Cricetulus griseus: one gene and its partners. The protein of the gene in region 3 interacts with the protein of the main gene of each other region in a biochemical or structural test. Links are inferred from orthologs where the notes say so. Each region holds a gene or a part of one and is shown on either strand. Other genes may lie near its edges. The genes, in order: Nek1, Bag1, Lrrk1, Ckap2, Scel, Tex33 and Bag5.

Region 1 (3,500 bases), on a different chromosome or scaffold from region 3:
GTGAGATCTGCACGATGGCTAAAATCTTCCAGAGTCAGTACTTCAATAGGAGTCTTCAAGCTCAACTAAGGTTTTAAGAGGAAACCAATATTCAAAAGCACCATTCATTGTGATACCAGTAAGTTCAAAAGCTCAGGCTAATGACAGCTATATAGAAAGCACATAGGGAGCTGGGGAAATGGTTTAGCTGGTAAAGTGCTTGCCATGCAAACATGAGGACATGAGTTTGATTCCAGCACCCATGTAATAAGCTTGGCATGGTGATATGTGCTTGTAATCCCAGTGCTAGGTGGCAGAGACAGGAGGATGAATTGGTCAGCTCCAGACCAATGAGGGATGCTGTCACAAAAATCAAAGCCTGAAGAACAACACCTGAGTCTGACTACTGGCTTCTATATGCACACGTGCACAAATATAAAAAGAAAGTACCTACATAATATGATAGTGATGTCTGTCCAATAATGCTCTGTATTCAACACTTAAGACTGTAAATCTGTTTTGGTAGTTTATATCTTCTAATGTCTGCTAATTAGAGTAAGCAATGGAAGCGGGAGGGAGCTAGGAGAATGAGAAGGGGAGAAGTGGAGGGGTGCGGAGGATATGAGTGAGCAGAATGGTTGAGTTAAGGGAAGAATAGAAGTTAACATGAATGGAGATACCATAATAGAGGGAGACATTTTAGGTTTACAGAGAAATCAGGCACTAGGGAAAGGTCTGGAGAGCTACAAAGAAGACACAAACTAACAATCTAAGTAACAGAGGAGAGGCTACCTTAAATGCCCTCCCCTGATAATGTGATTGATGACTAACTTATATGCCATCCTATAGCCTTCATCCAGCAGCTGGTGAAAGTAGAAGCAGACACCCACAACTAATCACTGAACTGAAGTGGAATCCAGTCATAGAGAAGGACGAGTGAAAAGCAAAGGGGTCCAGACCAGGCTGGTGAAACCCACAGAAACAGCTGATCTGAACATCGGGGAACTGTTGCTCCCCAGACTGATAGCTGGAATACCAGCATGGGACTGATCCAGACCCCAGGAACACAGGTTTCTGTGAGGAAGCCTTGGACATCTACGGGACCTCCTGTAGTAGTTCAGTACTTTATCCCTAGCATAGGTGTGGACTTTGGGAGCCCATTCCATATAGAGAAATATTCCTTGAGCCAAGACACACGGGGGTGGGCCTAGGCCCTATCCCAGAGGATACAATAGACTCTGATCACACCCTATGGAAGGCCACACCATTCAGGGGGAGCACAAAGGATGTGTGATAGGTAGGGTTTTAGTTGTGTTGGGGGGAGTAGGGGAGGACGGAGGGAGAAGGGAACTGGGATTATCATGTAAAACAATCCTGTTTCTAATTCAAATTTTAAAAAGTTGAAAAAAAAAGCTATAGTAAAAATGATATGGCAACTTAATGTAGTATTTGGTCATTCAAGATACTGAGGGAAATACAATGACTTACTTTTTACTAATATCAAAACAGTAATACTTCAATGTATACAATAAAAATAGCTACACAAACAATATACAAGACATTTTGGTATGTATACATACACAAAAATTACATAAAATTACATATAAGAAGTTAAATGAATTTGCTAAGCCAGGGGACAGCGTGGCAGGGAAGCAGACAGAGGAGCTAAGAGAATCCAGAAGGAAGCTGTCTCCATTCTGCACCACAGTCCTACTTGTAGAATAAAGCTACCCATAAAGGAGTGAAAACCACAGGGCCACAGTGGTATGTAGGAGTCCAAGGAACTATTAGGAAAGGACTTACCTGCCCTGCCCCCCTCAACAGAATTAAGGGGCACTGAGGTTGCAGAAACCAGCCACATCCTTTCACTTGAGGTATTTGCATGTTGATGTGGGGCCTGGATGTGGTTACATTGAATGGGTAGCTGGGAAAACAATTCCTCAGACCAACACTCTGAATGACTGCTACAAACTAAACTGTCTTATTCCCCAAGTAGAATTTTTATTGGAGAGCAACTATTGCTCACTTTTTAGTACCACTAAAAAGAACCTTAGCCAATAAAATAGGGGCTTTTGTTTGTGTGTGTTTACACTTGTTTGGGTTCTGAATCAATTAAAACCAAACACTGGCAATCAAGCAATGTTATCAGTGGAGAGACAGCACTATCCATATCTGAGACCACATTTACCTTTGGGTTGTTGGCATCAAATAGACCAGTTGAAAGCCCAATCAGTAAGGAATTCTTGGTTTTAGTTTTTGGTGGTGAATCAGAGCGGGTTCGGAGTAAAACTGATTCTTCTGGTGGACAGTGAGTTGACTGAACTAAGTTCAAGTGCTCAGAATGAAGCACTTTCTGGAAGAATGGTTCTGGTTGTACTGATTTCCCCACATCAAATCCAGACTGCTGAGAATCACCCACTGCAGATTCTGTGGGGCAAAAGGAGGTTCTACCATCAGTCTACACAGTAGCACTTAAAGATCGACAAATATCATACAATAGTTAATACAAATCCTATCCAAGGGGCTGTAGATGCTGCTTAGCCTTAAAAGCACTTGCTGTACTTGCAGGGGACCTGGGTTTAGCTCCCAGGGCACACACAGCAGTTCATAACCATCTGTAACTACAGTTCCAGGGAATCTGCCATGCTCTTCTGGTTTCTGGGTGCCAAGACTACACATGGAACAAATATTACTTCTATTCAGGCAAAACACTCAGACATATACAATATTTTTAATTAAAAAATGATTCCATCAAAAAAAACTCACACCAGGAAAATAAAATCAAAGTATACCTATAAGTATACTGTATACTACCTTATAAATAACCTTAAAACAGATATACTGTTTGATTTTAATGATTTAATTTAATATATATTTTCATTATATTGGAAGTTTAAAATAGAAAATCAATTTTTTAGTTTGTTTCTATAGAGTAGAAAAAATGTTTATATTATCTTATATTTCAACCAATGGTATTTTAGAAAGAAACTAGTTTATTTGGTGCCTTTAGTATACTGGTTTTGTTTTAACAGAACTTTTTTTTCATTTTTAAGAATATAATTTACCAAAAGGTTAACTGCTTATGTTACCACAACACCGGGCTGGCTAGTACAGGTTCCTGTTCTCTAGGCCTATTTTTAAAATAGAATTATGATGACCATAAGAAATGCTCTTGCCAGGTGGTAGTGGCGCACACCTTTAATCACAGCACTTGGGAGGCAGAGGCAGGTGGATCTCTGTGAGTTCGAAGCTAGCCTAGTCTACAGAGTGAGTTCCAGGACAGCAGAGCTGTTACACAGAGAAACACGGTCTCGAAACAAACAAACAAACAAACAAACAAACAAACAAAACAAACAAGCAAAAGTGCTCTTAAATATGGTGCCCAAATTAGACAGGTTGGTGTTAAGTGTTTCAGAAAGAATTAGACTAATATAGTAGAGCTTACCTATATAATCCTCATAAGATTGGTTCACATTCTCTGGAATTCTAGCCTCATAAACTTCACTCTGCTGCATGGCAAC
Region 2 (3,221 bases), on a different chromosome or scaffold from region 3:
AGAAAATGGGAGGTAGAGGCAGGCAGATCTCAGGTCTACATAGTGAATTTCAGGACAGCCAGGGCTACACAGTGAGGTCCTGTCTCAAAAAAAAAAAATAAAAAGAAAAGAAGAATGTCACCTTGAAACCAAGGCCTGTGGCTGGGGAGGAGCAGTGGGGGATGAGGACAGGCCTTTAAACCAACAATCCAGTCAGATGTTCTGAAATTAAGCTAAAGCAAGGCACTCTGTGGATGGTCCATGTGCCAAACTTCTACCCAACATTCCTACAAAGATGATTCTGGTTTTACATCTACAAACTGAGATCACAAGGTCATGAATCTGAAAACTAGGGTACCCTACAAACTGGGAAATAGCGCAGATGAAGGCGCTCTTCCCAGCCCAGAAAGTACCTGAATGTCAAGAGCTGGTAACCACTGGGCAGGAAGGCCTCTCTCCTAAAAAGGCAGCTGCTGCACACCACAACCATAAAGAGCCAAATGAGAAAGCAGGAACTCTACTTCAGGTTGCAAAGACAGTACTTTTTCATTCAGAACCGATGGAGAAGTAGGGAAAGTGACATTTGGCCAGTTGCCTCTGGCAGCCCGGAAGAAACAAGCAGCTTCTGTTCAAGACAGGGCAGAGCTGTGAAGCTGCACTTCAGGTCAGCATAGCCACTCTCTACCGCACTTCATTCATCAAGGGCAAAGTCTGAAGAGTGCAGTCGCTGTGTCTCTTGGCAGATGTATTGCTCCACCATGTCACACTCAGCTAGGAACACCTACAAGACAGACACAGGCAGTGAAATTCGAGGCCCTCCTAGGACAAGCCAACCACTGCCCATTCAAGGTTCTTTATTCAGCCATTCTGGGGAACCTGCAGATTAGACTCTAAACAGGTTGTGCAGGGATGGACATGGACTCCCAAGTTGAGGGGGGCAGGGATAGTGAAATATTGGGCCAAGTTCTGACTATGCCCTAAGCCAACGACCTCCAAAAGGGGGCACTAGACACACCATTGGCCCTTACTGGAACTTTGCTAGCCCTATCTCCTCTCCAGTGAACTTGTCCAAACTGATTATATCGCATACACAGGGGCAAGAATCCCTTTCTTGGGTCCATGCTAATAAATAAACAATAACAATAGACCATGCCTCTTAGCACAGTTCTACACTACCCTGTTTTGAGCAGATATACACACACACACCAAACACACTAAATATATTACAGCCTGTCATGTATTACCATATAACTCACTCACCTGAACCTTTTTTACCAAATTCTTCCTTTTTAGCCTGCTGTCTTTAAAATCTTCTGGTAGTACCTATGGGAGAAACAGTTCACACCAAACAATTGACATCCGTAATGACAATGACAAAAGACATTGGAAATCCACACAATACATTCACAGGTCACCAGTATAAGTAAGATGTGCACTTTCAGGCATCATTTCTCCCGGTGTGCATCCTATGTGGCTCCCTTCATGGCTCTCATTCCTATGAATGCTCCCTCCCTTTGTTGCAATGTCTGGAGTGTAACCTGATCTGAAACACAGATTTTGTTTTTTCACTGTGCCAAACATATGGATACTAATAAGCCAGGAAAAGTACCTTCCATTGTTTGTTTGTGTGTGTGTGTGTGGAAGGGGGTTGTTTGTTTGTTTAGTTGGTTTTGAGACAGGATTTCTCTGCATATTCCTGACTGTCCTGGCACTCATGATGAAGACCAGGATGGCCTTGAACTCACAGAGATGCACCTGCCTCTGCCTCCTGAGTGCTGAGATTAAAGGCCTGTGCCACCACCACCTGGCTGGTTTGTTCTTTTCTAACCCCTCAGTCACAACAGAATTAAACCCAGAGAAATTCACTCTCAAGAATGAAGCATGAAGCTAGAGATACCCTTACAGTCATCTGTTAAAGAAAACTTGGGTCAGCAATTCGACAGTCTCCCAAGATCTGGCTGTGGTTAAAGAAGAAATGTGGTGGTATAGAAGAAATAAACTTCCTTAACCACAAGATCATAAACTTGTTGGGTTCCAGGTCCATGACCACACACACACACACACACACACACACACACACCATACATATTACAGAAGCCTCTGTGTTGTTGGGCTGTGAATGCCTACAGGTCAGAAACTCCACACACTCACCCAATAACCTAGCATGCTAACCTAGTTTCCTCCCTATTGCTGTGAGAAAATGCCCTGATCAATTGGGGAAGAAACCTGAAGCAAAAAACATGGATGAATGCTGCTTGCTGGCTCACACTTGGCTTTCTTTTTAAGGTTTATTTATTTTAATTTTATGGGTGGTTTACCTACAGGTATATCTATACCATATGCATGCCTGACACCTGAAGAGGCCAGAAGAGGACACTGGATCCCCTGGAACTAGAGTTAAAAATAGTTGTGAGCCACTGTGTAGGTGCTGGGAATCAAACCTAGGTTGTCTGGAAGAGCAACCAGTACTCTTAACCAATGAACCATCTCTCCAGCTCAAAGCTAGCTAGCTTTCTTACACAGCCCTGGACCATCTGTCTAGGGATGATGCAACACATAATGGGCTATATCAATTACCAAAACAACCTCACCCCCCACAGTGCCCATAGACCACCCTAATCTTGGTAATCCCTCAACAGAGAGGCACTTCACAGGTAATCTCCAGACTGTGTTGACCATTAAAGCTAACTAGAACACACAGCACCTGGCACACAATAGTAAATGCTTAACATTCCCAAGTAACAGATTTTCACAGGCAACAGACGTGTAATACTGATAGACAGAAATGAACTGAAATGCCGTCATTAAAAACTAGTATCTCTGAGCGGAATATTTACTTACCATTGTGTCAATCTCCTCCAAGATCTTCATGAACTGCTCAATTGTGGCCTTTACTTTCCTATCAAGTTTGTAAAGAACCTCTGCTTCAACTTCCTTAGCCAGAAAACCCTGTGAAGGAGTAAGATACTATTGCAAGTGTTTCTTTTCTTTATCTTTTTTTTCTTTTTTCTTTTTTTTTTTTCTTTTTGGTTTTTCAAGACAGGGTTTCTCTGTGTAGCTTTAGAGCCTATCCTGGCACTCGCTCTGGAGATCAGGCTGGCCTTGAACTCACAGAGATCTACCTGCCTCTGCCTCCTGAGTGCTGGGATTAAAGGCGTGAACCACCAACACCCCGGCTTTTTTTTTTCTTTTTAAAGATTTATTTATTATGAATACAGTTTCTGCCTGAATGCAGGCCAGAA
Region 3 (3,500 bases):
GCCTGAAGTTTTTGTGAAGAGAGTGAGTGGAGGCGGTGTGACACAGGGAAAGACCTTCTATAGGAAACCTGAGCATGGTTCTTGTTTTGGGGGCACCTTGAATTTTCTGATGGACAGGTGAGCTTCTTATATTTGCTTGGAGATCACTCCCAATTCTTTTTTTTTTTTTTCTTTTGAGACAGGGTTTCTCTGTGTAGCTTTGGAGCCTGTCCTGGCACTGGCCCTGTAGACCAGGCTGGCCTTGAACTCACACAGATTCTCCTGTCTCTGCCTCCAGAGGAGTGCTGGGATTAAAGGCGTACACCACCACTGCCCAGCTATCACTCCTAATTCTAAAAGCAAATGGCAAAGACTTCTTGGGAGAACTGCCCAGATGGATTTGCAAATCTTTCAAGAAGCCATGGGTTCCACTCACTTCGGCCCCAAAACAAGAGCACTGGACAGCTCAGAAATGGCACCCCCACTCAAAAACACTTACCTGGGGACCCAAATGAGGTCTTTGACAGCAAGAACCTTCACAGCCTGCAGGTGTTGGTTGAACGTCTCCCCATCCATGGGGGTCAGGTCAGGCTCAGATCTGTCAGAAGTGACGCTGGGCCTGTCTGGATCTTCATAATCAGTGGAGAAAGGCACACTGGAATAGCTGGTCAGGGAGCTGGGCAGACTGGACGGGGACCTGGGATCTCGGTGGGGTGGGGACGAGGAGTAGGAGGACATGGAGCAGTAGTCAGTGAGTGAGTCCTGGTGGGTCAGGATCTGCATGCCCAGCTCCTCACTGTACATGATGCTCACGTCTGCAATGCACTCTTCCTCTGGCTCCTTTGAGGTGACTATGTGACTGCCTGGGGCTTCTGGGACTGAGGGCTGCACAGGAAACGTGTCCCTGAGAGGACTGGGGTCCCCACAGAAGTACCGGGCACACAGCTGGTAGGTGGCTGAGTGGTACATGACTAAGGAATTGGCCTTGTCATCTAGGCACCAGACCACCTCCTCCCCTCTGCAGTCTGAGCTGCACACAATTGATGTGACCGTGGAAGGGGCTGCAAAGGGCTCCAGTCGCCTGCTGATATCCAGGACTGTGCAGTCGATGATGAGGAGGCCAGGGCCATTGCTGTACCAGACCTCAGACCCACTGTTGACCACTTCCATCGCCTTCACTGGGTAGGGGTTCTGCCGTGCATCTTCATCTGGGATACAGAACTTGGACCTGTTGGCTGTGTGCGAGCACAAGTAGGAACAGCTTTCTTTTGGGGTGCCCCGTACCACCGGAAACACAGCCACAAGTCCATCAGCCAGGCCAGCCAGCACCAGAAAGGAGTTCTGTGGGGAGGGGACAGGGACACATGAAGCTCCTTCAGGTCACACATTCTGGGAGAAAAACCACAGGCACTAGACCCATCTTCATGTGTGCCTCAAGTGGGCACATGATCTCTCTTAATGCCTCAGAGAAGTAAGGGCTTTGAAATCCTGATCTGTTCGGGAGTCTCAGGCCTAGGTCCAGAAAAGATGTAGCTTGGCCCCACCAGAGCCACCATACATCCTTGGTGTTGCAAGGCAAGGGGTGTGCCAGGGAGGAACTGTGTCCACAGTGCTGAGGGCATCCGGCAAGGGTGCCACTACCTGGGATTGATCCCTTGCTGCATGAGCAGCAGGGAGCTGCTTTTCCTGAATGCCATGAAGGCCTCACTGGAAGGCAGGGCAGAATGTTTTCCCTATTGTAAACATCTTATTAACATGACAGCTGTGATAGGCATGAGGAACTCTGCCCACACTAGGTAGAGTGCTCCAGCAAAGCAGAGCCCAGATCTCTGTGCCCACCACTGCCACCTTGGCACTGTACTGGCCTAGGAAGGATTAAGTCTCATTCATCTCTGCAACCCTCGACTCCACTGTTCCCATCAAGTAGACATCGTATGTTTCCAGAAGAAACAGCTTCTAACTTAACTCTCCACACACAGAGAGAGTGTCTTGGCCCCATGAGCTCACACACACTCTGAAAAGCCTATGCTGACACTAGCATGGCTTCCTCTGTAGCTACCCACCAGAGGTCACTAGACAGAGGTCAAAGTTGCAGGCAGAAAGCCAAATGCAGGCTTCCCAGGTTATCTCCCTGAGCAGACACAGAGTGCAGTGGGGCATGTAAAGTGCCTCAGAACCAAGTTAGAGTTCAGGACAGAACAGGGTCCAGCCTTGTTCCAACCAGGGGGAATGGCAGAAAGCCACTTTGTTGGGAGTGTGTGTGTGTGTGTGTGTGTGTGTGTGTGTGTATAGCAGTGTGGGCTGTCTGGTCAGGGTAGTGGAGTGAGTGGCCTCTCACTCAACATCCACAGTAGAGAGCCCTAAGAAAGTTTCTCAAACTCCACCTTGAGGATTTAGGTCAATAAAGCAGCCAGAGCAAACAGGCCATAAGTCTTTCTGGATCCTGGCTGTGTTGGCCAGCGTGGGGAACACCACGTCCGTCTGGCAGGATGTGAGCGAGCTTGTGCAAGAACGCATGGGTCTGCTCTGTGTGGCCTCTGCAGGACGACCTCCACAGGGGCAGGCACCCTGCACAGGAGGCTCACACAGAGCCCGCTTTATTCTCTCTGCTAGGGCAGGACGTGCACACTGGCTAGGGCTCTGGCCATCGGGGTCCTTCAATAATGCTTTGTGTCCAGTTCCCCCTGGCTCTGGTGCAGGGAGTTCCCAGCTGCCCAGGCCTGCCTCTGGGGCAATGGCCATAAATGACTCTAAGGGTCATTTCATACCTATTTTGCAAGTCTTCTTTTTCCTTTTCTAAAGAAATGAAGCTAGAACAGCACAGAGAGAAGAGCCCACAGATTTGGGAACTATCAGGAAGTCACAGTAATACTTAGTTACCAAGTGCACAGCCTGGAACTCTGGGCTCCATAAGATCAGAAACTAATTCATTCCTACTATCGCCCCCATTGCATATAGACAGATGGAGATCACATAAGGATGGCCAGCACATTTTAAAAAGTGGTGCAAGGAAGTTCTCTTTATGCACTGGGGGAGAGCATGTGTTGCATCCTCAGGCCCCTCATAGCCTTTCTGGATCCAGGGAGGGCAGCAGAGAATGGGAGAGTAGGCAATGCCACACAACTTCTCAGAGGAGAGGTCATGGCTCTGGATCCCGGCAGTTCATCAGGAGGGACGCTCCTGGACAAGGCTGGGAAGGTGAAGCTCCTGTATCTGCTGTTTGAAGGAGAAGGCCCAGGACCAGTGCAGTGATGGGCTGGCCAGCCCTGGTGAGGCTGGATTCAATGCCAGCACGTGGTGGAGATGGCTTAGCTTAGGGGTGGGGAATACAGTGAGTGTATGGGTTAGGAGGGTGAGGAAGTAGGTCTTCTGGGCAATGCTGGCCAGCGTTGGGAAGTGTTGGGCAATGCTGGGCAGCACTGGGCAATTCTGGGCAGTGTTGGGCAGTGCTGGGCAATGATGGTCACCTGTAAAGTTGACTGAGACCTGGGCAGCAAGGTGGCCCAGGAAGGTGTGTCTCC
Region 4 (4,023 bases), on a different chromosome or scaffold from region 3:
CCCCCCCAACCCCCCAGGAGAGTTTTAGAAAATCTAAGACAGAGCCTCTGTCATAGGGCCAGTCAGCATAGCAGGATCAACTGTGGGTACACCTTTAAACCCTGAGTTGCAGGTGACCCATCCTACCCGAGGGACTGGTCTGTGACAGTCCACCCAGACAAGCCTCTCATAGAAAACAGCTCTTCAGCCCTGTTCCCACTGCAAATCTAAAAGCCACAGTACACGATAGAAACTTGAGGAATGCAGCAGGAGACATTTGGAGATGGGGATCACAATACCTCTGCCTCCCTTAGGACTCATGGTACTATTGGCCATAATTCTTCCTCCAGGGTAGCTACCATGGTTCCCACAGACTGGACTTTGACACAAAGAATTTTACTAGCTGTTGTATCTGGTAGTAACAGGTTTGTAAAAAAAAAAAAAATCATCTGATTTAATGAGTTATGCCTAGCTGTGCATCCAAATAATAGTTGGTCCTTGTAGATGATATATTTTTCTGAAAATGAATAGAGCCTCACAACTCTGTAAAAGGCATACATCTAATAACTGCTGAGAAAAGGTTATATGACTATTTGAATAAAGAGTGCTATTACTATGGTAACTATTTAGGGCTAGTTAGAAATTGGGTGAAACAGAGAGAGGAAAGTATGACCAACAGAGGGGAAACGCTACAGAGCCCCTGGTATTCTTGGAATGGTTACTGGAATTAAAAAGCTTAATGTCTCTAACAGAGCCCTTCTTAATGCTGCAACCCCTTAATATAGTTTTACTCATGTTGTGGTAACCCCCAACCATAAAAAATTATTTCATTGCTACTTCATAACTGTAATTTTGCTACTGTTATGAATTGTAAATACCTGATATGCAGGATAGCTGAAGGGGTGTGGACCCACTGGTTGAGAACCACTGTATTAGGCCTTTGTACCTCCAACTCTGAACTGCTGGAGCCACTTTAATATCACTCTTGTAGGGGCTGAGGTAGAACTACATCAGATACAGATGGTTCCAACCTCGAAGCCACTTTCTTAGGTGATGAAAACAACAGGGCCCTGCTGACATAGAATTTTAAACTGGAGCTTTTTAAAAGATTTTTAATAGCTCCACAACGGGGAATGAGGACTCTGGCTAACAATTTATTCAGAAAAGAATAACACTAATATACTTAAACAATCTGGCAATTATCTTTGCTGTGTCAATCTCCCATCTGCCCAAGTATTCTCCTGTCTGTTTAAACTGTTCCAAGAGTAACTGGTGGGACCCAAAAGAGATTTAAGGATGACAGCATAAGTAAAATGCACAAGCCTAAACTGAACATCAAGTATTGAAATCTTCTATTCAAGGCTGGCTCTTCCTTGGGCATTAGCAGGACAAATGCACCTTATCTAATCACTAAGTGTGTGAAGTGACTCCTCCCTGGGAAAATATTTCTATATCAGTGAAATTGGAAATTTCCCAACTTGGAGAAATGATCCCATTAATAGGAAGGTGCTGTCTTGGAGTTAGTAGTGCTGTGATGAAACAACCTGACCAACAGCAACTTGGGGAAGAAAGGGTTTGGTTTATTCACATGTCTTTATCAAAGACATTTAGGGTAGGAATCTGGAGGCCATGAAGGAATGTTGCTTACTGGCTTGCTCTGCCTGCTTTTTTAAGCACCCAAGACTAACAGCCCAGAGGTGGCACCGCCCACAATGGGCAGGGTTCTCTTCCATCAATCATTTAAGAGTCAATTAAGAAGATGCCCTGAGGCAAGGCTCACGACTTTAATCCCAGGACTCAGGATGCAGAAGCAAGTGGATTTCAGTGAGTTCGAGGTCAACCTGGTCTACAAAGCTACACCGAGAAACTCTGTCGGGGGAGGGAGATGTCCTGGGAAGGTAGTGGCCCATCTTTGGGGCTGGAGAAATGGCCCAGCGTTTAAAGAGCACTGGCTGCTCTTTCAGAGGGCCTGGGTTCAATTCAATTCCCAGCACCCAAGTGGCAGCCCACACTGTCTATAACTCCTGTCCTCACACAGACATACATGCAGGAAAAACACCAAAAATTTAATTAAAAAAAAAAAGATGCCCTACAGACTTGCCTACAGCCTGATCTTACGGAAACATTTCTCAATTTAGATTTTCTCCTCCCAGAGGACTCTGTCTTGTGTCTAGCTGGCATAAACCTAGGCGGAATGATGCTGACAACTGCTCTGAATAAGAACACATTCTCTGAGTCGAGTTTAGACTGAGGCTGTAGCTCTACGATAGAACAACGGGGGTCTATCCTCAGCAGTACCAGAAAAGACAGACTGACGGACGGGCATCGCCGACAGACGGGCAGACAGAAAGATAATCACGTTCCCTAGGGAACACCATTTCGACTTTCGGTTCCAGAAAGCGTCTATAAGATACAATGGTAGAGACGAGCTACTACTAGTCTCCAAATTTTGACGTAAGTCCCCCAGCCTCACCTCCAGAGCTTAGAGCTGGGCGAGCCAGCGCGCAGGCGCAGTCGGGGGTCCTTGCGGCCCCGCCCCCCTCAGCCCTCAAACCCGGACCCCCGAGCTAAACCGCTGCCCGCGCCGGCTTCTACCGAGGCGCGGGGCAGAGGCCTAGGCTCTCAGAAGGGCGTGAGGAGGGTTTGCGGCCCAGGCCCCGCGCCGCTGCTTACCTCTGAAGGCCGGCTGGTCTCTCTTGGTCGGGGGCAGCTGCAGGTCCCGTGGCACCCGCAAAGTGTTCCTCCCAGCCCGGCCTGCAGAGCGTTTCCTGGACTCTGCCATCTCGTAATGTGCGCGTCTAGGCGCCGGCGTGAATTGAATGGACCAATGAGCGCGGGGGGGCGGAGCCTGGACGAGGGGCGGGGCCGTCCGGGAGTCTGCAGAGTTGGCAGTTGGCGGCGTGAGTTTTTCGAAAATTAAACAACGCTCTTCAGCTGAATGGACTGGGGCGGAGCGGGCTTGTTGAATCCTCAGGCTGTAGCAGGACTAGGGTTGACAAGTCGGGACAAATCTTCAGACACAGCCCGAGTAAGGCAAAGGACAGCAGATGGCTGCTGGCGAGCTCACCGAGGCTACAGCTCAGAAGGTCCCTGAGGAGTACATATTCACCACTGCCCTTTGGAGCTGCATTACTGAAGTGGGTTGTGATCACATCTCACAAACGAGATGAGCTCAGATGTTAGATGTCCATGTTTGCACAGCTCGCAAACAAAATCTTAAGGTCTACCTTTGTGCTGTTATTTTATTGAAAGTCTCTCAGTGTACCAAACTCAACTCTATCCCAGGAACTCGAATCTCACATTGCCTGGTTTTTCTATGTTTGTATATTTAGGTTTGCTACTATAATCGTTCACTCCCATCATTTAAACGTGTCACCTATATAAAACCCAGACAGACGGGCAATGGTGGTACACCATTGTAACCCCAGTCTTCAAGGAGATGACATGTATAAAATATATTCCCAGAAAGAGGCTGCATCTTCAAAGTGAAACTTTTTGCAAGGCTGATTAATTGATTAAAACCTCAATGATTGTGGAGAAGTTGGAATGTTGCAGGTCCAGGGCCCAGCTGCAATTTATCTTGGGCTATCTTATTTAGCTTACTAAATAGCCATCTCTTGCTGTCGTAGTCGTCATCGTCGTTGTCAACCCCCCACTCCCACCCCCAGATGCTTTGCCAGTACATTTTTTTTTAAGGGTTGGAGTGGAACTCAGTGACTTGTTCAAGTGCGCTGCCACTGAGCTAAATCCCTGGTCCTTCTGTAGTTTTTTTTTTTTTCCTTTTAAAATATCCTATTTTATTGTAGCCTTACCAACAGCTCTTATTTTTAAAGACACCACTGCTATTTTACACATTCACTACAATATGACTTATTGCTAAGGTTCTAGTGGTGTGCTTGGTTGTCAACTTGACTGTATCTGGAATTAACAAAAACCTAAGCATTTGGGCATGCCTGTGAGGGATTTTCTTCATTGGGTTATCTGAGGTGAGAAGACCCATCCTAAATCTGGGCACATCTGGTGATGAAAGACCCGCTCGAAATG
Region 5 (3,500 bases), on a different chromosome or scaffold from region 3:
TTAAGTAATTTAAGTAAGTAAAATAGTTTAATGTAAATTAAAATACCAACACACACACAACACAACACACACACACACACACACACACACACACACACACACACGTGCACCTTTGCCAAGGCTATTGGGTTTGTAAATGACAAACAATAACTCAATCCTGAACCTAACTCTAGAGACTTCACAATACACTGTGCATCCTTCAGTGTACACTTTAAGAAAGCTGGAGATATTTGAGGGACATCACTGTCGCCTTAGGGTAAGAAACAAACAGTAGCAAATATATCCTTTTAGAATATTCTAACCTACATATTATTGGTCTGACATGATACAATATTATCTTTTATAGCTACAGTTTTCAAATCTGCATTTGCGTCAAAAGCACATTGAATTTGTTAAAACACAGATGGCCAGGACCCCAATGGCAGAGTTTATGATTCTTCAGGTCTGGGATGGGACCAAGTAATTTCCACTTGTAACAAGTCTGAAGCGATACTGTTGAATCCAGCACAGAAATCACACTTGAGAATTGCTGTCTGTACACATACACACAGATATTCCAATGCCATACACACAGATATTCCGATACCATGTGCACAGCAGTTTACATAGGCAAACCATAGCCAATGGGGCTAAATAATTCAAATGTGGTTTAGTTTCTGTACTTGTATAAATCAAGTTGATATTTTAATGAATTATTCAATAAGTTAAAAAAATCTGGAAAGTAGTATTTAGTAGACCAAGCCTAATTCTAGAGGTTTACTGTTTTGTAAAAATTGATACCACAGTTGTTGGACTTTGTTTCAATGAGACATTTCTTTAGAAATCAAAATGTGTTGATATGCTATCTCATAGGGTTACCAATGTATGAAAACAGAGTGTCATGTAAGCATAGAATCAATGCCTATTCTTTTATCCTACTTGCCAATATTTTGTGTCTTGTCATTATATCATCCCCATGCTATTTATATATGTGCCTATTTCTTTCAGATTCAGTAACTACTTATTATTTTTCTCTCAAATGTTTTGTCTTTTAGTTTAATTAAATGTTAGCAAGAATTACTGTCATGGGGCCACAACGGAGCAAAAATTGAATTAAGAAAAAATTACTTTGGAAGCTATATGTGTAAATTACACACAGGTTTGACCCAAAGAGGTCTTGAGTTGTCCTTGGGAGTTCCCATGCACACAGAAGATTCCCTGAACTATTTGTTGTCTTGGGCTTCATTGAAATAAATTCACACATGTCACATGTGTCTGCATTTATGGACTTTCCATTATATTAACCTATAATTAGGCCAGTTCTCATTTTTTATACTCCTTGAATCCATGTCCTCTGTTATACTTTTGTTGACATCCTTCATTCCAAGCAGACAGTTTCATAGGACATCAATAGTCTGCAATTTAGGTCATGATATGTTGACCTAAAGATATGTCTTCTGTGTTAAATTGGGAGTAAGTAGTAGAGCCTTTGCATTAAGGTGATTGAGATGAAAAAGTTTGTTATAACCAAATAGTTATGCACATTTATGTAATAACATCTGATTGTGAATCTTATTACTTACTCATTAGTTATTTGCAATTCTTTTGAGTATATTTAGTGACTATAAGTCATTTATCAACTACTTATGTTGCGCACAACATAAACATTGTCTGCATAGAACTTACAATATATTAAACTGTCCTCTCTATGAAGGAGGCACACCCTGAAATGGTAGCACCTCCTAAGCAGCATGGATCATTCACAGCTGTAAAAAGAAATGAAATATCTGAAGCACTTTTCCATTACCTACTCTCCACATATGTCCTTGTATAGACAACTGTGTCCTTAGGCCCAGCATTCCTGGTTCCAGTATCGGAACTACAATAAAACCATTGAGTTTCATGTTAAAATGTCACTTGTGAGGATGATAAAAGCAAAAACATTTTCCAATAAAATGCAAAATGTAATATATATATTTATACATATGTATATATGTGTGTATGTATGTACCTTATAAGGATATATATATCTTCTAAACCAACTGTTCAAATGAAAATGTTCAAGTGTTATTAATCAACCTCTGAAAAAATTTTCCACCTCTCCCATTTAACTCTTAACATCCCTGTCTTGTTCTGCTTTAGTATTATTAATGTGAAAACTAATGATTTAATAAAATTGTCTTAGAGCATGCCGATGATTTTAACTGTCTATGTACTGTTTTTTAGTATCTGTTTCCCTGATGCCTAGTTCATTTCTAAACCATAGATTTCCCCAATAAACCTTAAGTTAAAAGTGAACTTTAATTGACTATTCAAACCTCAGGTTCAATGATATAGTCAGGAAGATCTCATTCAAGAATGTGAATGCCTGGGTTAGAGAGATGGCTCAGTAGGTAAGAGCACTTGTTGTTGCAGGGAACCCAGGTTTAGTTCCCAGCACCCACATTGGGTGGCTCCCAGTCACCTACATTTCCTGTTCCAGAGATCTGATACATTCTGGACTCTGTGGGTATCAGTAGATGTGTGGTGCACATACATAGACTTGGGTATACATACATACACATAAAATGAAATCAATAAATCTTTAAAAGAAGAATATCAACATCAATGTCATAATCTTGTTTTATGTGATTTTAGACATTAAAGCAACAATCACATTTTATATTATTCTATGTGCATCCCAGCAATAATTGAGTTGTTGACTCAACAATTTCATGTAAGAGTATTTACATATCAAAAGTTCCATGCTTTAAAACAAATGGCTAGCTTGCATGTAAATAAGTAGACACAGGAATAGTCCTGTCATTGGTTTTATAACTGTCTTTAGTACCTGAGGCTATTTCTGACATCATAAGAATAGACAGAGGTTCTCGTGGACTCCTTGAGTTGAGTGTTGGTGAATCCATTGACTTGACCATCTAGCCTGCAAGAAGAAACATATATATTTGGCCTTCAAAATCAAGGTCATATACAATCATTTTGCTTTGTTAAAGTTGTGCTATATAGATGGTATTTCTTTGTATCTACCAGGTTTCTGCACAGGAATATACATTAAAGTATAGACTGCTTTATTGGTTCAACTGGTTCCACAGAAATTACTGTCTTACCTTCAAGAATAATTCACAAACATGGGCCATGTCATCTAATGCTGTGATTGAATGTATTTTCATCAAGACTAAAATCAACTGAAAATTAGTTCCTCAATCATTTTCATAACAGCAGCGCCCTTTAGAAAGCCTCATTTGTACTACATATCTAAGAATTCATCAGTTTAATGAACGACGCAGGGGCTGCTTTGACACTCTCCAGTTCCCATTTGGTCTTAATGAAAGGTAATGCTTTGAAGACTACAGAAGTCTGACCTAGATTTCTGCTGATCTAAAAATGTCATCATGTTTAACAGAGCATAAAGACATTCAATCTCTCCCATGCAACAGAGGAAATTCTCAATGAAAAAAAAATAGTGGAAATTGTAGCAATTTTTCCTCTTCCGTGTTAGTAAGTTTTGAGAGTAAAGACAT
Region 6 (4,005 bases), on a different chromosome or scaffold from region 3:
GCCACGCTGACCTTTGAACCCAAGAAAGCTGATATTATCACTGTCAGCAAAGGTGTCAGATCAGGGGTAAGTTAGGGAACCAGAGGTGTCCAGTGTGGGGGCTTCACTACCAAGTGGGCTGTACCACCTGCTCAGTGAAGACACACCTTCCAGGGATTAGATAGATGGTCCTGGCATTCCCATAGGACATGCCAGCATGAAGGATGCCTTGGGTGTTTGTAAAGTGTCTGTGGGGCTATGCATTTGAACCTTAAGGTCCAGGTAGGATGGACACCCCAAAGGCCTTCTGTGCCCAATGTTCTCTGGACCACGCATGCTCACAGCCCCACCCTTGTCTTTTAACCTGACCTTGAAACAAGTTGGACCGCATGTGGTAGCCCAGGTCATAGTAGTCTGCGAAGATGGAGGAGATTTGTGCAGGGCTCTGGGTCCTGCTTGGCCATGAGCTTGATCTCTTCTGGCCCTCAAAGATTTCACCAATGGCCTTTCGAGCCTGATGGAGGAGGCAAGAACAAGAGACAAGTGATGGGAAGATATTATGTATGCTGCCACTACCCGGCTTTCCCCACTGTAGGCTGAATCCCCCAGGGCAAGCTCTGCATATCCCCATTCATTTCCTCCTCCCAGAGAGCCAAATCTTAAGTGATGGCAATGATTCTACACACATTGAGCTCTTCCTGTGTACACCATCATGGCAAAATGATTCTACACACATTGAGCTCTTACTGTATACAGTATCAGAGCAATGATTCTACACACATTGAGCTCTGAAGACGGTCTTCACAGGGTGATCCTGTTCCCATCATTTTAGAAATGAGGAAACAGGACTTTGACAGGCCAGGCTCCCCTCAGTTAACACAGCTGGGGAACCCCAGAGTAACTTGCTGCTTACTACCAAGGCATCCCACAAGCCTAACTTAGTTTACACCGAGACCAACTTCTTCCTCATATCAAGAAGGAAACTGAGGCCCAAAGGGACAAGTCTGGGCCTATGAGTCAGGAAACCTGACTATGAGCACCAGTTCTGACATAGAGCAACTGCTGAATTTGGCAGGCCTTGGGACCTCTCTGGGCCTCAGTTTCTCTGGAAAGCAAACCTGAGAGCCTGCAAGTAGCTTTCAGCTCAGACACTTGCTCCTTCAGTGGCACCAGGGACCTGTACCCCAGAAACTGTGCTGCAGAGGCCAACGGTATCTTCCCAAGGCCAAGAGCTGCATGAGTGACCACACCCATCTCCAAAGGAACAAGTCGTTCAAAGCAGGGAGGACATTTAAGACTGTGACCCACCCCCATGAGTGTGTCTGATGGGTGGGGTTGTTTACCTTGAAATGACAAATGAAGGTGAGCCTGGGAGGGCCCTGACACTCAAGTTTTTTATTGCATGGATCTACTGGCCTTGTGGCTCTGAGCAGATCACACACAACACCTGTCCTGGTCCTAGTTATCCTGTCTAAAAGGAAACCATAACCTCTGCTCTACTGACCACACATTGCAGTCACTACAAGGGTTGAAATTGCAGCCTTAAAATATGTCTCAGAATATGAGAGTTTATCCTTTGACTAAAAATGGCGGGTGATTCTAGTCTCGATTTCCAATTGATAAGTAATGGCTGTCTAGAAGAATACAGCAGGTAGGAAAGACTGCCAGGATTGATTTGTCATGTCTGCCATGAATAAGGCTAGACTTATGGTATATATGCCATGGATTTATCAGCCTGAATGGTTTGGGTGTTTCATTTTGCAGATTTAGAGACTGAAGGCCAGAAACAGAAAGCAATTTAAAGAGAGTTACCTGGCCTTTGGGGAAAAAAGCCACTGCTGAAATAGAGCCACATCCCAAACCATGTCTCTGATACCCAGAAAATGATCCTTTAGGAGTTGTGTTCAGGTTGAAATGACTAATGCAAACAGACTTATAACTGCAGTCAGTATCAGCCAGGGCTCTAGAACCCACTTTAGATCCTCATTCCACATGGCTAGGTAGATGTGGTTAACCTGCTTAGCCCCTCTTGCCCTGGACTTCATTCATGTGAAATGGAGGTAATACCTCTTTCCTCATAGTGGTCTCGCACAAAGGCTTGAGACAGCACACAGTGCCTCATGCATAGCACGTCTTAGTAACCGTCACTTTCTGACAGTATAGGTATGGTTTCCAGGAATGGGTTTTGTACCCTCATTAAGTCTCCAAGACAACCCTCTTCCACTCAGTCTCCCACATCTCTGCTTTGTCACCTGTTCCTCGGAGATCAGATGGTCCACCACCTTGCTCCCAAACTTGTGGCGGATGTTATCAGGAATAACACTGTCCTGGTTCAGAGACACTGTGTGCTCTGGGGTCTCCCTGGCTTCTCTCAAGCTGGATCTAGATGACCCCTTCTTCAGGTCCTCAGAGTGTGAGCCCGTGCCCAGAGAAGTCCTGCTGGCAGGAGTCGGTGGCGGAGGTGGCATCTCCAAGTGGCTCTGGCCCAGGGGGCTGCATTGAGGACTCTGAGAGAGCCCTGAATGGTGACTGGATTTGGAGCTGTCCAAGTTGCTACGGGAAGCTCTCCAGGAGTCCATGTCCTGCTGGCCCTCCTTGTTGTTGGGTTGGGTCCTTGTCAAAGTGGTTGTACCTGAGCAGGGAGGAAGAGGGCAGCACAGAGACAGGAAGCCACCAGACCAGTGTGAGAAGCAAAAGTGGGAAAGGTGACAGAGGGGCCAGTGGGAGAGAAAGTGACAAAAACCAGAAAGCCAGAGACAGACAAGGGTAGAGACAAGAGTAGAGAAATCGCAGGATCCCAAGGCAAGGTGAGAAAAGAGAGATGAGGGAGACAGAGGGAAGTCAGTGAGCAGACCTACACAGGACAGGGTTGTCTCCATAAGGCCCTTTCTTGCTTTGAATTCTAACAAAACACTGTATGAATCCAATAGGCATCGGGGTGGCAGAGATGACTCTTGGCTTGGCCAAATTTCAGGTCTGCAAAGTGCTAGAAATGGGGTATGAGCCTTGCTCTTTGTTCCCCGTCCCCCACCTCTTCTCCCTTCCATCCCGGCCACCTCCCATGATCTCAGGGCCACTAACAGCTCCCTCTCTCATTCCCACTTGTATCACTCCAAAACTCCTGCTGCCAGCAGGACTGCTAACCTCATCCTGTAGACTACCCTCCTATCATTCCTGGCTCCAACAAGGGACTGCTGACTCCTTTCCTGCACACCCTGAAACATCCCATCTCTCTGCCTCCCCCAGGCTGCTCCACTACCTATTGAGGCCGTCCCTTTTAAATATTTTTAATCTTTATTTTTATGCACGTGGGTGTTCTGTCTACATGTACATATGTGTAAAACATCACATGCATACAGTGACCACAGAGGCCAGAAGAGACTGCTTTTGGATTCCCAGGTACTGGAGTCACAGACAATTGTGAGCCGCCATATGAATGCTGGAAATCAAACTTGGATCTTCTGGATGAGCAGCTCTTAACTGCTGAGTCATCTTTCTACCACCCATCACCCCCCTTTTTTGAAAGTCAAATCAGATCCTTCCTTCAACCTTTAAGTACACACACACACACACACACACACACACACACACACACACACACACCTCTCCGCCACCGGCCCCAGGCTGTTGGGTCAGTTCTCTGCTCAACACCTGACACTGTCCACTGTCCACATCCTCACAGCTCCGAGATTTTCCTTTCTATCTCACTGTGAGTTCCACGATGCCCCCTTTCTCCTCCTAGATAAGGGGAGAGGGTCTCACAGGTGAAGTCCCTGTAGGGGGCCAGTCTCAGACCTTCCACAGTACCCCAAGGTACCCAGAACATTTGAGTCCTTTAGTAAAGGAGAAGACAAGTAGCTGGCTGTAACATCAGACCCACGAGACCTTGGCCTCATCCCAGCCAAGACACCCATCTCCTCTCATTCTGACTGCAGGCTGTGTAACATTTGATGGCCCTGTGTAGGGCTAACCAGGAGTGTTTTCTCTTAGTGATACGGAGGTATATCTTCCAGTTAGACCCACTGT
Region 7 (4,200 bases), on a different chromosome or scaffold from region 3:
GCTCTCTAAAAGCAGATAAAGTGTGAACCAGCAGGAGCAGCTCCTGGTCCATCAGTACTCCCACTCGTCGGACTTCAGATCAAGGTAGCTGAGGATGTTCTGGGCCAGCTTCACAGCCTGCTTCCTAGCAGACTTACACTTCTCTTCTCCCTGGGGGTCAACAGCGTCCAGGGTCAGCAACTGTTTGGTCAGCAGCTCCTCCAGACGGATATAGTTCTTATCAGTTCGGTTTCCACCAAACGAGAGGACTTCACCCTGAATCTCTGACAGGTTTCCAAGGACATCCCACACAGCCTTGTGTGGGGGGTTCTCCTCACTAGGGAAGAGCTTCCTCTTCTCCAGGGCCTCCTTGAGGTCCAGGTACGTGATCAGGGTCTGCACTTCAATCACGGCTCTTCTCCTGGCTTCCCGGATGCAGGGGTTCTTCTCAACACTGACTTCATCTAGCTGTCCGATCAAGCCCTGAAGTTCTGTCTTGGAGCTCAGGTACAGTTCGGGAGGGCTCTGAGCCTGGAGAAGTTCATTTTTTATCTCTCGCATCCTCTTGAGCACCTTTTCTATTTTCAGAATGGAATGGTTCTGCCCCAGGTCAAATGCATGTGTACTGTCAGCTTCCTCTTCTAAATCTAGGTATTTCAGTAGTTTGTTGATGTCCTCCACCACCTCCCTCCGGTAATTTCTGATCTCCGTACGCCCACACACGTCTAAAGCATCTAGATCAGCCATCAACCCTGACAGCACGCACGATAGGTGCCTGCAAGTCTCAGTACTGTCCACGCCCATCAGAAGTGCGATCAAAGTGCCCCTGGCCTTGTTCACCTCACACATCACCAAATTGATCTTGGCAACTGAAGGGTGCACATCCTCAGAGAGCGGCAGGGAAGGCTGCTTCTTCATGCAGTCTTCAATGATCTCTTGCACGGCACAGATCTTGGTTAGGGTGTGGTACCTTGCTTTCCGCAAAGAGATCTTCCCTCCTGTTTTAACATGCGTCAGCCTCAGAATGATGTCCTGGATGCCTTCCTCAAATTCGTCAGTCACACAGTTGCCTCCACTGTAAAAGGGCACGATCTTTTCTTTCACAAGGGCCTGTGCCTCCTTAAAGATGTTCTGGATTTCAATCCGGTGTGGGTGGTTTGCATTCTGCTCCAACTCTTTGAGAAGGCCTTCTGTCTCCTGCGCTGCCCTCTTCCTAGCTTGCTGAATGTCTCCTTTTCCTTCTGTGTCTACAGAGTCTATTTCAAAAAGTTGTTTCGTCAGAATCCTCTCCAGTCTCTTGTAATTCTTGTCATCCGCCAGGCCGCTGAAGCCAACCACTTGAGGCTCTATACTCTTGACTTCTCTTTGGATCTCCTGAAGCCTACTAATAGAAGGGTGTTGGTTTCCCATATCCATACTTCTGTGTTCAGTTTCACAAGCACTGAAAGACGGCAAGAGTAACTTATTACAGTCTCTGCAGGACAGTTAGATCAACCCACTTTAAACTCACTTTTAAAAGGCATACTTTTTAAAGGATTAATTGGGGCTATGGAGACAGCTGTCAGTCAAGTGCTCCAGTTGGAGCTCCAGAACACATGCAAAGACAGCCAGGGCAAGGGCCCTAGAGAGGGCTCAGTGGTTAAGAGCACTGGATGCTCTCCAGAGGACCTGGGTTCAATTCCCAGCACCCACATGGCCTCTCCTGGTCACCTGTAACTCCAGTTCCAGGTGATCTGATCCCCTCTTTTGGCCTCTACAGGCGCCAGGCACACATGTGATGCACACACATACATGCAGGCAAAACACCGGTGCACATAAAACGTAAAAGCCAGGCAAGATGGTGCTCACTTACACCACCGGTGCCAGGAGTCAGAGACGCGTGGACTCTGTGGTTCACTGGCCAGCTAGCCTACTCCGATTGGGGAGCTTCGGGCCATGAGAAGCCCCGCCTCAAAAAAAACAAAGTAGAAGGACACCACAGAAATGGTGTGTCTGGGGGGAGGGGGGCAGGGTTGAACTCTGGCACCCGGGCAAGCACCAAAACACACAGACGGAAGGTTTTGTCGTTATTTATAGATTTGGAAGACATACTCGAGGAAAGAGGAGATGTGACATGTTAACTCCCTCTCGGGAAAGCACTTCACAAAACAATGTGCCAACACGCCCGGCGCCAGGGAGGCAGAGGGAAGAGAATTAGGAGTTCAAGACCCGCCCGGGCCACTCAGTGAGATCCTGACTCAAAAGCAAAACGAAAACAGGGAGAAGTCTGTCCAGTCTGGGGTGGATGTCTGGGCCTGGGAATCAAAGTGAGCCGCGCGCACACACACACGCACACACGCACACACGCACACACACGCACACACTTTCACGGAGGCCAAACCATCCGCGTCAACCCCGTTTCCTCTGCTCCCACCGCCCTAGAGGACGACTGGGAGCGGCAGGCGGGGCGGGAGGCTCCCCTGTGGAAGTCATCGGGCGCTCTCCGGGGCTCCTCACCGGGCCACCGTTCTGCCCCAGGCCCAACCGGACTTGTCCTTTCCACGAAGTCCTCGCCCCCCTCGACTCCCATTGCTGCCCCGACCCGGGCCCCCGCCAGAAAGCGTGACAAGTGCGGTTATTAGCTGGGTCACTCGCCTCCCCGTAAGCATGCTTAGAGCTTTTCCCACGCTCGCTCGCTCGCTCGTTCCGTCTCTCAGGTTTCTGTCAAACCGCTCACTTCCGGCGGGCCGGCCACAGAACTCAGTCCAAGCCCGGAGAGGTGCGGGCGGCGGCGGTCTTGGCGGCCGCGGAGGGCGGCGAGGCGGGAGACCGGCCCGTCACGGGGAGCGGCGCCGGAGCGGGGCCCCCAGCGGCATCCCCCTCGCCCTTCCCGGCTAGGTCTGACCCGGGCGGCCGGTGAAGGGGCCGGCGGAGGCGGCGGCAGCTACTGGCCGCGGCGGCCGCTCCGGGGCGTCTCGGCCGGGCCCGACGCGCCGCCGCCTGACCTCACAATGGGCGCGCGGGAGCGGCGGCGGCGGGGAGAACGAGGCCCGCGCCCCCCCCGCGCTGCGCTGCGCTCACCTGGGCCGCTCGCGCCATCGCGCGCGCTCCTCCGCCTGCACTTCCGCAGCGTTGCCGAGGCGGCGCCCGCCGCGGGGCCGGCCGCCCAGCTCCGAGCCCGGGGAAAAACGCGGCCGGGCCCCGCCCCGGGCGCGCCCGCCGCCGCTCTCCGGGAAAGCGCACGGTCGGCCTCGCCCGCGCCGCCCGCCGCCGCCCGCGCGACGCTGCCGTAAAGCGGACCGCGGCGCTGTCGCGATCGCGCCGCGCGCCGGCCATGGCGGCTCTGCGGCCCGGAAGCGGAGCGCTCGTCCGGCCGCTCGTCCGCTCCTCGTCCAGCGGCGGCGGCGGCGGCCGGCTGGCCCGGGAACGCGGCACGGAGCGCAGGGATGCGGCGTCCAGCCCGGTGAGCGGACGCCCGGGGAGGGAGCGGGGCGTCCCCGGAGCCGGCGTGAAGCGCTGTCGGCGCGCTGCGCCCTCACTTCCGCTGCGCGAAGGCGCCCGGGCTCGGTCTGGAGGCGGCGGCGGCTCGGGCCGCGCGTTGTTTGTAAACAGTCGCGCAGCGTCAGAGGCCGCAGGGCGCGTCCGCAGCGAGCCGGGAAAGCGGCCGGGCGCTCGGCTTTTGTTTAACCCGCCGCCCTTCTTCCCGAGCCGGTGCTTCGTTTAAGGGAGGCCCGGGCCAGTGAGAGTGATGGCTGAGGCTTCAGGTGGAGAGCACTAGACAGCGCCCATGGCTGCCCGCACTGCATTTGCCAGCAGGCCGGCGACACAGGCTGGCGAGGTTTGCTTAAGCAATAATTAAAGGGCCGCAGCGGGGAAAAAAAAGGTGTGTGGGGGAGATAATTAAGAATTGCAAAATGTGCCTGCTGTGTGAATTTCCATTTCTGTTATGCTGCGTCTCGGAAACACTTTTATTAGAACTACAGCTTTTGAAGTCTGTCTAGTCTCCAGTTAAGGTTTGTTGCCCGGGCTCCTGGCCTCTGGCTCGGTTCCCTGGCACGAGAAACAGACAAGCCTTCACTTCTGTCTCTAGAAAAATAGAATTTTAGTCCTTGGGCAGAAGGAAAAACGAAACAGGTGTCTGAACATGTTTGGGGAGGGGAAATGTAACTCAGCCAAGCATTTACTTTGGGGTGTGTGTGTGTGTGTGTGTGTGTGTGTGTGTGTGTGTGTGTGTGTGAGAGA

Evidence for each region.
Region 1: the proteins of Lrrk1 (region 3) and Nek1 form a complex in vitro, tested with the Homo sapiens proteins (2 studies listed by BioGRID and IntAct, with this or other methods). The link is inferred for Cricetulus griseus from reciprocal best matches to the Homo sapiens genes LRRK1 and NEK1.
Region 2: the proteins of Lrrk1 (region 3) and Bag1 form a complex in vitro, tested with the Homo sapiens proteins (2 studies listed by BioGRID and IntAct, with this or other methods). The link is inferred for Cricetulus griseus from reciprocal best matches to the Homo sapiens genes LRRK1 and BAG1.
Region 4: the proteins of Lrrk1 (region 3) and Ckap2 form a complex in vitro, tested with the Homo sapiens proteins (2 studies listed by BioGRID and IntAct, with this or other methods). The link is inferred for Cricetulus griseus from reciprocal best matches to the Homo sapiens genes LRRK1 and CKAP2.
Region 5: the proteins of Lrrk1 (region 3) and Scel form a complex in vitro, tested with the Homo sapiens proteins (2 studies listed by BioGRID and IntAct, with this or other methods). The link is inferred for Cricetulus griseus from reciprocal best matches to the Homo sapiens genes LRRK1 and SCEL.
Region 6: the proteins of Lrrk1 (region 3) and Tex33 form a complex in vitro, tested with the Homo sapiens proteins (2 studies listed by BioGRID and IntAct, with this or other methods). The link is inferred for Cricetulus griseus from reciprocal best matches to the Homo sapiens genes LRRK1 and CIMIP4.
Region 7: the proteins of Lrrk1 (region 3) and Bag5 form a complex in vitro, tested with the Homo sapiens proteins (2 studies listed by BioGRID and IntAct, with this or other methods). The link is inferred for Cricetulus griseus from reciprocal best matches to the Homo sapiens genes LRRK1 and BAG5.

Annotation. Positions count from the first base shown.
Region 1 is NW_023276806.1:238,837,695-238,841,194, reverse strand, and holds part of Nek1 (serine/threonine-protein kinase Nek1), read right to left. Parts: coding exon 3,425-3,500; intron 2,407-3,424; coding exon 2,168-2,406; intron 1-2,167. UniProt on the Homo sapiens protein: Phosphorylates serines and threonines, but also appears to possess tyrosine kinase activity. Involved in DNA damage checkpoint control and for proper DNA damage repair.
Region 2 is NC_048595.1:101,674,477-101,677,697, reverse strand, and holds the end of Bag1 (BAG family molecular chaperone regulator 1), read right to left. Parts: intron 2,929-3,221; coding exon 2,821-2,928; intron 1,303-2,820; coding exon 1,240-1,302; intron 761-1,239; coding exon 671-760; 3' UTR 501-670; downstream 1-500. UniProt on the Homo sapiens protein: Co-chaperone for HSP70 and HSC70 chaperone proteins. Acts as a nucleotide-exchange factor (NEF) promoting the release of ADP from the HSP70 and HSC70 proteins thereby triggering client/substrate protein release.
Region 3 is NC_048596.1:131,008,393-131,011,892, reverse strand, and holds part of Lrrk1 (leucine-rich repeat serine/threonine-protein kinase 1), read right to left. Parts: intron 1,321-3,500; coding exon 479-1,320; intron 1-478.
Region 4 is NW_023276807.1:61,473,269-61,477,291, reverse strand, and holds the start of Ckap2 (cytoskeleton-associated protein 2), read right to left. Parts: upstream 2,801-4,023; 5' UTR 2,762-2,800; coding exon 2,653-2,761; intron 1-2,652. UniProt on the Homo sapiens protein: Possesses microtubule stabilizing properties. Involved in regulating aneuploidy, cell cycling, and cell death in a p53/TP53-dependent manner.
Region 5 is NW_023276807.1:255,218,610-255,222,109, reverse strand, and holds part of Scel (sciellin), read right to left. Parts: intron 2,903-3,500; coding exon 2,810-2,902; intron 1,859-2,809; coding exon 1,787-1,858; intron 1-1,786. UniProt on the Homo sapiens protein: May function in the assembly or regulation of proteins in the cornified envelope. The LIM domain may be involved in homotypic or heterotypic associations and may function to localize sciellin to the cornified envelope.
Region 6 is NC_048595.1:375,484,200-375,488,204, forward strand, and holds the start of Tex33 (testis-expressed protein 33), read right to left. Parts: upstream 2,801-4,005; 5' UTR 2,559-2,800; coding exon 2,232-2,558; intron 494-2,231; coding exon 349-493; intron 1-348.
Region 7 is NC_048598.1:182,322,638-182,326,837, reverse strand, and holds the start of Bag5 (BAG family molecular chaperone regulator 5), read right to left. Parts: upstream 2,801-4,200; 5' UTR 2,628-2,800; coding exon 2,614-2,627; intron 1,421-2,613; coding exon 52-1,420; 3' UTR 1-51. Other genes in the region: cytochrome c oxidase assembly factor 8, read left to right, coding at 3,293-3,421. UniProt on the Homo sapiens protein: Co-chaperone for HSP/HSP70 proteins. It functions as a nucleotide-exchange factor promoting the release of ADP from HSP70, thereby activating HSP70-mediated protein refolding.